2 linked regions of the Nothobranchius furzeri genome follow. Each later gene encodes a partner of the first gene's protein in a complex. Links are inferred from orthologs where the notes say so. Each region holds a gene or a part of one and is shown on either strand. Other genes may lie near its edges.

Region 1 (6,212 bases):
AGCTGGAATCGAACCCATGACCCTCTGATCATGAGGCAACCCGCTCTACCACCTGAGCTACTGCTGCCCTAAATAATATATTTAGATTTATAATAAATAAATCAATTCCTCCAATTACAACAAAAAAAATATATAGGGAACGCTTTCACTTAAATCCAGAGGAGTCCAACCCAGGAATGTCGATAGGAACGGTCTTCGTTTTGAGCATCCCAATAAAGTCTTGCCTGTGCCGCTCAGTTGGACATGCTGAAGGCCATTCTCAACCTGGTGAAGTTTTATTACAGTAATTTCTTTGGCATTAAAGTGCTACAGGGAATAAACTTTGGTGCCATACACATAAAGGCCATAGGAACTAAGACAAGCTCCAACTGTTTGTGATGATTTTAAAAATGTTTTATTTTATCATAATAAATTCAAGCTCTGTTGAGGAGTGGCTAAATGTTTTTAACACAAATGTCAAGCAAACACCAGGAGGATCATCATATTTTATTGTTATTACTGATTAAAATGGGAAATCTATACATATTATGCAATTGTTGGTGCGCATCAAAATGCTAATTTACAGTTTGTAAAATGTAGTGAGCCTTCCTAACTTGAATCTGACTTTCTACAGCAACCAGGAGTGTTGTGAATAATCGGCCCCTCAAAGATTTCCTCATTGGGGGTTTGGGTCAGAAATCACAGTCAGACAATAATGTTTGACATCTGACATAGATAACCTGAGCAAATACAAAATGCATTTTCTAAAATTACTATTTCATAAACTGTTGTTACAAAGCTAACCAAACTGATCACTGTAGGACCTAAAAAGCAACACATCCTGGCTCTAAAGAAAACACAGAACAACATCTAAAGTACTGCAGGTGGTTGAAGTCAAGGGTCATGACTTGTGCTAAAAGACAACAAAAAGCAGAACTTTCTGGAAGCTGTGTCTTAATCCATCTGGAGGAAACCTACACCACCAGACATTGTAGTGGATGGTTGCAGCCTTTGACACTGTTGACCATCACCTGCTACTAGGCTGAGGGACTGGGTACACCTGTCAGGATCTGCTCTGGAGTGGTTCTCCTGTTGTCTGTCTGAGCGCTCCGTTTCTGTGGCCATCTCCAAGTTTAGGTCCTCCACCACCTCTCTTACCCATGGTGTCCCACAAGGTTCTGTGCTGGGGCCTCTGCTCTTCCTCCTCTATCTGCTTCCTCTTCAGCACATCTTGAGCTCCTCTAAAGGAATCTCCTACCATCTTTATGCAGATGACATCCAACTCTACATCTCCTTTAAGCCCCATGAGATGTCTAAGCTGCAGCTGTTACTCTCCTGTTTAGACTATTAAAACCTGGATGGCTGGGAGCTTTCTACAGCTGAATGAAGACAAGACTGAAGCCTGATTTCTGCTCCTCCATCAGCTCGAGTGTGAGTCGCGCAAACAGATTCACAGAGAGGCTTTTCCTTCAGACTTCTACATCACATGTGGATTGTTGCAAAGCAATTCCCCGCCAGGACAACAAAGGATGTAGTGCTTTTTTTGGGTAACCTGTCACCATTACTGGCACGTATCTGGTCTAAGATTTTGTATAGTGTTTATATTGTTTCAATGTATTTCGGAGACTTTAACCATGGACACATTTATCCCTCATTGTCCTCCATCTCTTCAGGCGATTGGTACCTCTAAACCCACGTTCCTTGTCATTTCAGCCTACGAATAAAATGCTTGTTCCGCATCTTTGTACTTCTTCAGTCACGGGTGAATAAACATTTATATTTTCGGATGTTTTCCGTGGCGCATTCTTTAATCTGTACCATGTTTAAAGGAAGCAGTGTCCTGACCAATCACAAGCTAGGTCTCCGTCACTTTCGACTGAGAGTTAAAAGGTTGGACATGACTCTGTCATAATGGCGTTGCATATCTCTGCACTGATGCAGACAGAGAAGTATACATTAGGCTTCATATCCTCATCTGTGCCCCAGACAAGCTGGTTCCCAAAGTCAGAGACTCTCTTGGTCAGCTTGCTTCCCACACCAAACCTTCTGTCAGGAATCTTGGTGTGACCTTTGACCCTGCTCTCACCCTGGATTCTCATGTCAATTATCTTGTTCGCTCTTCCTTCTTCCATCTCAGGAACATTGCTAAGCTGAGTCCCATTCTGTCTCGGTCTGAACTTGAGACAGTTATCCACACCTTCATCTCCTCACACTTAGACTACTGTAACTCTCTTTTCACGTGTCTGAGCAGAACCTCTCTGAACCATCTACAGGTGGTTCAGAATGCCTGTGTTCGGCTTCTGACCAAGTCCTCCAAACACACCCACATCACCCCGCTTCTCCTCCAGCTTCACTGGCTGCCAGTCAACTTCAGGGTTCATCTTCTTGGTCCCTGTTTCTACCAACTCTGTCTTTCCCTGGATCACATAATACTTTTCATATTCATTTTCTTTCTTCTCATTTTTAACTTAAAATGTTCAATTTTTCCTATTTTTTATTATATTTTTTATAACCGTTTTAAAATATTTTTCAGTTTCTGTTGTGAAGTGTCTTGTGATTTATATATATATATATATATATATATATATATATATATATATATATATATATATATATATATATATATATATATATATATATATATATATATATATACATACATATATATATATATATATATATATATATATATATATATATATATATACATATATATATATATATATATATATATATATATATATATATATATATATATATATATATATAAATCTTTTCTTTGACCTTAAACAGACCGTTCATGCTGGAAAACCCTCCACATTTAGGCTGAATTAAAATAATCTCTCAATGAAAAATGGGAAAAAGTTCGTCCACAGAGAGGTGAAGCCCTTGACTGTACTTGTTTACACCGACTTTTATAAGTTTTGGGGTCAACTACTGATTCACATTGATCTTTGCTTTGATAGATTGATTTTCTCTTAATATACAAGATCTTTAAAAAGTGCATTTTTTTTATATAATTTTAGCAATTCACCCTAAATCTTCCGATTTTGTGACATCAAACATTTTATTATTTGTGTTTGTGTGACGTTGGTCACAGCCAGCATACTCACTGGTTACATAGAAGTAGATCAGTCGCTCATCTTTTCCCACTTTGTTTTCAGCGGAGCACTTGTACATGACAGAAACGCTGGCGTTGCGTATCTGAAGTCTGCTCACAATCTATTAGTAAAGAAAAGACAATGAGCCTTGCATTTATAAAGGAAGTGTGTATATTTTAACGGTGCAGGACATTATGCTGCTTATTTTATGCTGACACTAAAAAAACAGCTGAATCCACTCAGATGTGAAGGATAAAAACAGGATTCCTGCACGTGTGGACATCTGTATCCGTGATTGTGATGTTTCCTCTAATAGTTTATTAATGTGCAGGCACTTGCCCCTTATTCATGTGTCTAGGTGTGTTTATATATACATAAAGGAATAAGAGCCTTACAGGAAGTCTGGAGAGGAAAACTGCTGTAAATGTTTCTACAGTGGAAACAGCTCCTGATTGACTAATTCTGTTATCGAGCTCCAGAATTTAGGACAAAAAACATCACAGTTCAGGGAAAAGTCAATTACATGGATGTTTTCTTGACTGTGTCATATCCCAATCATGTCTTTATTTCTACATTCTCATAAATTCTTCTTGTATATTAAAAAAGTCTAATCCTAGAAAAGCTTCAAACAGTTGAGAGGAACCTTTTGCCGATGGTCCACCACTTCCACAGACGTTTCAATCGATTCAATTTCATTGATGCCGTTTTCTGAGTTAATCTCCTGCCAGTTGTGACAGTCCGAGTTCCTGTCACTCCGACCTTTTCTGTCTCGTCGGACCCTGGAAACGAGCACAAACACACCCACACCCTCCTCGTTGACATGTGCATCAGACAAGAATGCAGAAACACATCCAACCATGTCCTCTTATTTCCCTCCACGCGTTTTATTGCATTTGACATCAGTCCAGAGCCGAGGCAGTCGTGGCAAGTGTCCCAGCAGCTAATGGAAAACAACCGTTCCCATTAACATGATCCACAGTATGAACATCATAGTGGAGCTAATGAAACATGAAATTATTTGGCTTCTTTATTTTTTTTATTATTTTGCTTAAAGGACATCATGAGGGGAAGGTGAAGATGCTTAGTTTTCCTTAAACTCATCAGCAGAGTGCACAAATTCGCTGTATGATAAGAACAGTACAACAATGAAAAATCAACTAACGTAGCGTGACTTTTTTCAGTGACTTGCTTCTGTATTTTTATTCTGTTCTGGTCGGGTTGATGCCTGTCTCACAGATGAACACTGAGAAACGGGGTACACGCTGAACAGGTCAGCAGTCACTCACGCTGCTCATCAACAATAAGAACACGTTAGATCTCAGTCGGAGGGGGGAAATCCTGCTGGATCTCCATCCTGACGAGGAAGGAGTAATGCTCTAGGAACAAAAGAATGCCACAATATTTAATGAAAATGAAAATGATCAACCTACAGAGGTCATCCGTCAACCCAGCCAGTAAACCTGATGGGGCAGACCAGTCCGACTTGCTGAAATGTCATTGCAACAACTCTAGAGGTTGCTAGAGGTTTGTACACCCCCGTGTGTTTGTATGCATGCCTGGCAACATTGGAGCATACTACTTATGAGCTAACCAAAGCATCACTGAGCTGCTGGATTGTCCGAGGTGAAACCTGGTAGCACAACATAAATCAAAAAAACAAAGCCCCAGAGATGCTCTATTCTAGACGTAGGTCAGGTTAGAACAAAGGCCACCAGTTCCTTCCTCCTCCAGGAATGGCCTGCTTACTCTTGCCACACGATGCTGCGTTTGGTCATGCATGAGCTGGAACCCGGGACCCAATGTTCTAGTGAAGACTTCTAAGTACGTGTCTAGTGATTACATCGTGATTTCTAATGGCAGTCAGGGGGCCATTGTCGGTCACAGACAGGTCTGCCTCCCCAGACTGGCTCTAACCATTCACCGCTGCTTCTGCTGACACGTCACACCTGTTCTGTGATCCTAGAGCGAATCTGCTTTTATCTACGAAAAAAGACGGCTGCTGCTCTGGTCTAGATCTACGTTACTGGGCAGTGAACACAGGGCCCACTAGAGCAGTGGTTCCAAATCTGAGGTCTGTGACCCCCCTCAAGGGGTCCCCACAAGAATGCAGGGGGTCCAGTGGGTCTACTTTGTTAGTGCTATTAGTAAGATTACTACAATTACATGTATAAGATCCAGAAAACACATCCAACAGCACAATCAGTACTCTGTGTACAAGGCACGACTGTATGGCTTTATAACGACTGTAAGTAGGGGCAGGAATCGAAGACCGGTTCTTGTTCAGAACCAGTTCCCACTGCTTTAGTTCTTAGGAACTGTTAGCCATTTTCACAAACAGTTCCCTTCCAGTCGATGTGAACGATGTGAACGATGTCACCACGCACAATGCATAGCTTACGCATTCACTCAGCCGGAAACATGGCGCCTAAACGGCACAGACGCTTGAAGGTTTGGTGATACTTTACAAGAAGGGGTGACAGAAGCTCACCTTGAAATACTTGCAAACTAGATATTTCATCAAAGGGAGGAAACACTTCAAATATGCAAAAGTATCTGTGCACCAAATATGCCATAACTTAAAGTGAATGTTGTGTTTTTGACCCGCTCCAGACTAGAGAATTTCAACACTGCGGCAGTAGTGGTGATGTTTGCACGTCCTCTCCTGTTAATGCTGCAGGATACTAATGAACTAACACTGCCTATCATGTTAGCAGCATTTGCCTTATATGCACACCTGTAATGAAGGAGACCATGTGCAATGCATTTTTATGTCACCCATTGACCCACTCAAGAATTGATAAGGAAGTGGATTGATAGACAGAAAGTATCATTTCCCACCCCCATTTGTAATTATTCACTATTGTGTGCATGCAAGTAAGAATTTGGGTTGGGGCCTGGCTTGTCTTGGACACATGGAAGGGAGTCCTCGTGAAAAAAGGTTGGGACCCACTGCACTAGAGGACACCATCCATCAGGCCACCCTCATGGAGTCTGTTTCTAGAGGTTTGTTCTGAGACCTTCTAAGAAAAATCAGCCAGGTTCTAGTGAGTAGCTCCCACTAATGTAGCTTTATTCTGCAATGTATTTAATTTTATGACTCTTTATTTGTCATGTCTTTACTGGTTTAATGTT
Region 2 (6,212 bases), on another chromosome or scaffold:
CACGCTTAGACTACTGTAGCTCTATTTTCACGTGTCTGAGCAGAACCTCCCTGAACCGTCTACAGGTGGTTCAGAATGCCTGTGCTCGGCTTCTGACCAACTCCTCCAAACACACCCACATCACCCCGCTTCTCCTCCAGCTTCTCTGGCTGCCAGTCAACTTCAGGGTTCATTTCAAGATCCTGGTTCTGGTCTATAGGGCCTTACATGGACAAGCACCATCATACATTGGTGATCTTCTTAGTCCCTACACCCCCAGCAGGTCCCTGAGGTCTAGTGATCAAAGCCTACTGGTTGTGCAGCACCAGGCTAAAGACCAAAGGTGGCAGATCATTTGCTGCTGTGGCCCCCAGACTCTGGAACTCTCTCCCCCTGAGCCTGAAATCAGTGGACTCAGTGGTCTCCTTTAAAAATCAGCTGAAAACTCACTTGTACAAGCTGGCTTTGGTGTGTCCTTTGTCACCTCCCTCTCCTTATTCTATTCTTATTCCACCTTTCCCGGGATCCATTGACTTCCCTCTCTCCTATTCACTTTCTCTCTCCATTTATTTTGTTCTTTTCTCCTTTTAAACATATTTGTAATCATTTTTTAAAATCTTTTTATACTTTCATTTTTGTTTTTGTTTTTATTTTTGTGAAGCGCCTCATGATTTTTATCTTGAGAGGCGCTATACAAAAGATCGTCTTCCTCTACTTCTAAGCAAACCAAACACGGAGAAGACGGACGACAGAGCTTGGGTAATCAGGACATTATTAAATCACTATAGACAAAACATTCATTGTTTAAGAGAATATGATTGTAATTAACCTATAAAGTGAGGATATCTTTGTATGAGACAAAATACGATTCTTTTATTAAAGTTAAGTGTCGTGTCTTCTGTCTGGAGTCTCCTTGTGCTGCTTATCTCCAGCGGTCAATGGGCAATCAGGCGGGGTACACCCTGGACAGAGAGCCAGTCCATCGCAGGGCAACAGGGACACACAGGACAAACAATCATGCACACACACACATACACCTAAGGACAATTTAGACAGACCAATAACCTAACAGTCATGTTTTTGGACTGTGGGAGGAAGCCGGAGTACCCGTAGAGAACCCACGCATGCACAGGGAGAACATGCAAACTCCATGCAGAAAGATCCCAGGCCGGGAAGTGAACCCAGGACCTTCTTGCTGCAAGGCAACAGCTCTAACCACTGCGCCACTGCGCAGCCTGTTTTAAAAACATGTTCAAATCATTTAGAACAGAGGAAGGAATTGCGGCACACTCAGCTTCAGACACCATGTTTATGAGAAACTCAGCGTTGTGGTGCATGTTTGACATACACTGCTTGTGAGGTGATCTAAACCCCCACACAGCAGGGAAGTCAGCATAAATCCCAATCAGCAAATTGTAATCCAACATAGCAATATCCACAGGCAGGAACAAATGCCACGTCAAAGACCAGGAAGACTGGAACTCCAGAAAATAATCCAGAATAATCCAGGAGAGGAGTAGATGCCAGTGAGTCATCAGGTTATCAGTTCATCTGGTGGAGCTCAAGGCATCATTAGAAACACACAGGGCAATAGACTCACACTGCTGACATCAGATGGTAAAAAAGTAAAAAATAAATAAATAAATTAGGAACTATGTGTATGAAGATTAACTGAATGATGTAGTTAAAATCAGAGGGAAAAAATGTGTAAATATCAGTGATGAAGTGTAAATATTGATACAATTCTTTGAAAAAAGAAAATGTATAAAATGTAGTGAAATGAGTGAATTAATTAAATGGAAACTAATAAAATCTGAAAATAAGCGGTAAAGGAAAAAAAAATCATAAGTGATAAGAGTGGTGTAATAAGCTAACCAATAACAGCAACTAAAAAAATGTGTGTGTTCTACAAAAGTAAAACCAAATGAATATCGAAATGTAAAAATATACAAATTCTGAATATTGTATATAACAAAAATGATTTTGAATATAAACATTTTTAAATGTAAAAATCTTAAGATGGTTAATACTTATGAGGGGGGTACTTTGGGCATGTGTTGAAAACCCCCTGCCCATTGAGCTCCCTCCTGAACTTGACCTTCATTGCGGTAGGTGGTCCTGAGCAGGGGGGACTCTACAGGCTCCTCGCCAAGCTCAGCCACTCCAGAACTGCCTCCGCAGCATCCTTCAGAACTATTCTCCGACGTTCTCTCACACATTGAACAGGTCGTGGGGTAGGCAGATGCTCTTATGAGTGAGCAGGACAAACTACGTCAGCTCCTACTAAAATACAAAGACTCTATTTCAGTCGACTCCATAGACTTAGGGTTGATTGCGATCCATGAATCCAACAAGGTTATTTGTCCACTGCAATGTCACTGTAAGGTCACCAGACACTGATTTGTCCACAGCCTGCTTAACTATGTGCTTTTCACCTAAAGACACAGGCTGTTTGTAACCTTGCACCAGAAGTTAGCCGTAATAAATAACTTCTCCTGACTCCGCTATCTGAGCTGCAACTCCAAGGTCCATGCAGAAGACGAGACCTTACTCTTTGAATAAAATTACTGTTATTTTGGTCTCATAAAATTATTTCTTTCAATCCCCAGGTTGTTTACAACCATATTATGTATGTCTACGATGAATGTTCTACTTAAAGTGATTTAATAATTAATCAATTATTCAACATACATTTTTATTATTTATTGACTTATTTCAGATTTTAAATAAACTAAATGAGTCTACTTGATAATTTAAAAATGATTTATTATTATTTACATTCACATATTAATATCAGTACTAACAAATGAATGTGTAACAGATTTATTTTACATTAAGTGGAATTAGCCTCTTCTGAGTGTCTGAGGAGTGTGTGATGTTTGAGGATTCTTGATAAAACTGGTTCATATTTCTCAGATCTGGTTGGTCAAAGTTTATAAACAAACACTCACTCACGTTCTATTTTCCCCAGTTCTGCCAGAGCTCCAAGTTACAGACAAGCTCAGAGCTCGTGCTAAATGACCATCCTAATCAACCAGATTTTTCAGTGGAATAATTGTAGTGGCTTAAAAAGCCCATCCTTTCTTTACATAAATCAATTATTCATTGCCCTTGTCCATGAGAGCAGGGTCTGTGTGATACTGGAGGTGTGTAAACACAACCTGGCAATGCAGGGATGGGCTGTCCCCATCTGGCCCAGGTAGAACTTAGTGTGAAAACACCATTAGGTCTTCACCTTGAATTGTCACCTTGAAAAACACAGTTCTGCTGCCTCTTAATGGCGGTGATTTGTAGAGACTTTCAAGGAGTTTTAACTGTAAAATGGGACGGTTTAAATGTCAGATTGTCTGTACTGACTTTGTCTCCTCAATCTACAGATGTCTTCTCATCAGATGTGTGTGGTCCAGATAAGGAGCTAGATCTGGAAAATTGCCAGTGTGTGTGTAGGCACAGCAATCCAACAAACAGCTGTGGCCCACACCGACACCTTGATCAGAAAACCTGCCAGTGCGTCTGCAACGCGCTTCCAGCTCTGTCCTGTCCTCCAAACCACGTCCTCAACAAGGAGACATGCCAGTGCACATGTGATAGAACGTGTCCAAGGCATCAGCCCCTCAACAAGACAAAATGCTCCTGTGAATGTCATGAATCACCAAACAAGTGTTTTCTGAAAGGAAGAAGGTTTCACCAACCCACCTGCAGGTATGCAGTTTTCCAGCGTGTCATTGGTATTAGAGCATTTTATCTTTGTGAGATACCGTAGTACCTAGGTTTTATCAATCAATCAACCACTCAATCAATCAATCAATCAATCAATCAATCAATCAATCAACCAACCAACCAACCAACCAACCAACCAACCAACCAACCAACCAATCAATCAATCAATGTTTATTCATATAGCACTTTACACAACCCAGAGGGTTGTAGTAGTCCAAAAGGGAGCTGATAAAAGCATGTATGGCTTTCTAGGTCACTGAGACTTAAACATGGTTTAGCTAAAACTGAAAAAAGCTAACCTTGATGACCAAGTCAATCTGCTTATCAGAATTCATGCCGCTATCTCTAAAAATTGGGGCTAAAGATCCAAAATCTGACAGTGTGACATTTTGCATGTTTGGTAAGGAAAAAAAGAATACACTCAGTTTTGTCGTTGAGATGTAAGACTTTTTCGGACAACCATAAATCTATGTCATGCATGCAGTGTAACAGGCAAGATATCGTAGCACAATTTCTGGACTTTACTGGCAGTTCAAAGTAGAAGTCATCAGCATAACAATGGAAAGACAAATTATGTCTTTTATTGACATTTCCAAATGGCAACTTCTAGAGTGAGAAAAATGTATTCCCTAGAATATATCCTTGAGGTACACCAAATGAGAGGCTTGCTGGGGATGAATAGGTGTTGAATTAACTGGACTTTGGTGGTCAACACTATTGGGACCATTATTAACTGCTTGTGTAAGACTGATCAGTTAGCTCCACCCTTGTCCCGTTATATGCTTTTGTCAGTTCCTCTTAAAATTTATTTTGACAGCAAGGCTCTATCGACCATTTAACTTGTGATCCAGCATGCATTACAACCCGTGGACAAGCTCGGCTTGAGTTTGCAGAGGCTTTACTTCCAAACGGAACTACAGACCAGACTGTTCACCGTGGGTCCAGTTCCTCAGCTTACCTCCCTACTGGCCTAAATTCAGGAAACCTGCTGGCCAGGAGAGCTCTTCTCCACACAGTTCCGACTTCTGGATCCCACCAAACCTGGTAGTAAGGGGGTATCATGGAATTCTAATGCAGAGCAGAGAGTGCAGTTCAGATCCAGAGATGCTGCTACAAGCCTTGTGGATCTCAGCTGGACCCTGAGTTTAGGGGTGAAAAGGTTAGGTTGCCCTAGACTGGATCTTCCCGTATGAGAAAGAAGCTCTCCATTATATAACAGATTTTTCTTGAAGTTTTTAAAAAGATCCCTCCCACTCCAGTAACTGCCTCTTGTGATTTACTGTCAGTGATTTTAACAGTAGACTGAAATCCGCTCTGGACCTGCTTGCTCCACTTAAAATCAAAAATCTATATTCAAAACGTGCTTGACCATGGAGAAATGAAAATCTAAAGAAACTAAAGAGGAACTGCAGGGTCGCAGAGCAGAGATGGACAAAGAACAAAATAACTATACATCATCAAATATACACAGAGCTACTTAAATCATATGGTAAATGGTAAAATGGTAAATGGCCTGTATTTGATATAGCACCTTCTAGAGTCCTGGAACCCCCCAAGGCACTTTACAACACAATCAGTCATTCATCCATTCACACACACATTCACACACTGGTGGCGATGAGCTAAGATGTAGCCACAGCTGCCCTGGGGCTCATTGACAGAGGCAAGGCTGCCAAGCACTGGCGCCACCAGTCCCTCTGACCACCACCAGCAGGCAAGGTGGGTTAAGTGTCTTGCCCAAGGACCCAACGACAGAGACAGACTGAGCGGGGCTCGAACCTGCAACCTTCCGATTACGGGGCGAGCACTTAACTGGGCTGCATGGTGGCGCAGTGGTTAGCGCTGTTGCCTGACAGCACGAAGGTTGCAGGTTCGAAACTCGGCTTGGCTGCGGCCTTTCTGCGTGGAGTTGCGTGTTCTCCCCATGCATGCGTGGGTTTCCTCCAGGTACTCCGGTTTCCCCCCACAGATCACAACATGCCCTATGGGTTATAAATTGTAAGTCGCTTTAGATAAAAAGCGTCTGCTAAATGAATAAACAAACATAAACATTCACTCCTGTGCCACCGTCGCCCGATTTAATAATGCAGTGAGAAATTCAAGAAATGCATACCTTTCCAAACTCATTCTAGACAGTAAACACAGTCCCAGAATACTCTTTTCCACCATAAACAACATTTTAAACCGTACATCCAATTCACTTCAGAAACCCCCCTCAGATGCTCTCTGTGAGGAGTTTGTAGCCTACTTCAGAGGGAAGGTAGACACCATCAGAAGGAATATTTTACCGTCTCTAAGTAATAAGGTTTTATATAAATCTGAATGTGTGTCTATACCAGAGGAAACGCTGGACAGCTTTGTCCTGGTAGAAGCTGAGACTCTTGATAAAGTTTTCTCCTCAGTGAGACCCACCGCATGTGTTCTGGACCCTGTTCCAACTTCGTTTTTTAAACAATTGTATGGATCTTTTAGTGATGAGATTTTAACTCTGATGAATTGCTCCCTTCAGACGG

Evidence for each region.
Region 2: the proteins of flt4 (region 1) and vegfc are in contact, whole or in part, in a crystal structure (PDB 4BSK), measured with the Homo sapiens proteins. The link is inferred for Nothobranchius furzeri from reciprocal best matches to the Homo sapiens genes FLT4 and VEGFC. Residues at the interface, in NP_891555.2 of Homo sapiens: Gln172, His199, Asp200, Ala201, Leu202, Tyr203; in NP_005420.1 of Homo sapiens: Leu119, Asp123, Trp126, Gln130, Asn167, Arg210.

Annotation. Positions count from the first base shown.
Region 1 is NC_091741.1:101,873,042-101,879,253, forward strand, and holds part of flt4 (vascular endothelial growth factor receptor 3), read right to left. Parts: intron 3,860-6,212; coding exon 3,724-3,859; intron 3,202-3,723; coding exon 3,093-3,201; intron 1-3,092. UniProt on the Homo sapiens protein: Tyrosine-protein kinase that acts as a cell-surface receptor for VEGFC and VEGFD, and plays an essential role in adult lymphangiogenesis and in the development of the vascular network and the cardiovascular system during embryonic development.
Region 2 is NC_091747.1:73,385,458-73,391,669, reverse strand, and holds part of vegfc (vascular endothelial growth factor C), read left to right. Parts: intron 1-3,356; coding exon 3,357-3,681; intron 3,682-6,212. UniProt on the Homo sapiens protein: Growth factor active in angiogenesis, and endothelial cell growth, stimulating their proliferation and migration and also has effects on the permeability of blood vessels.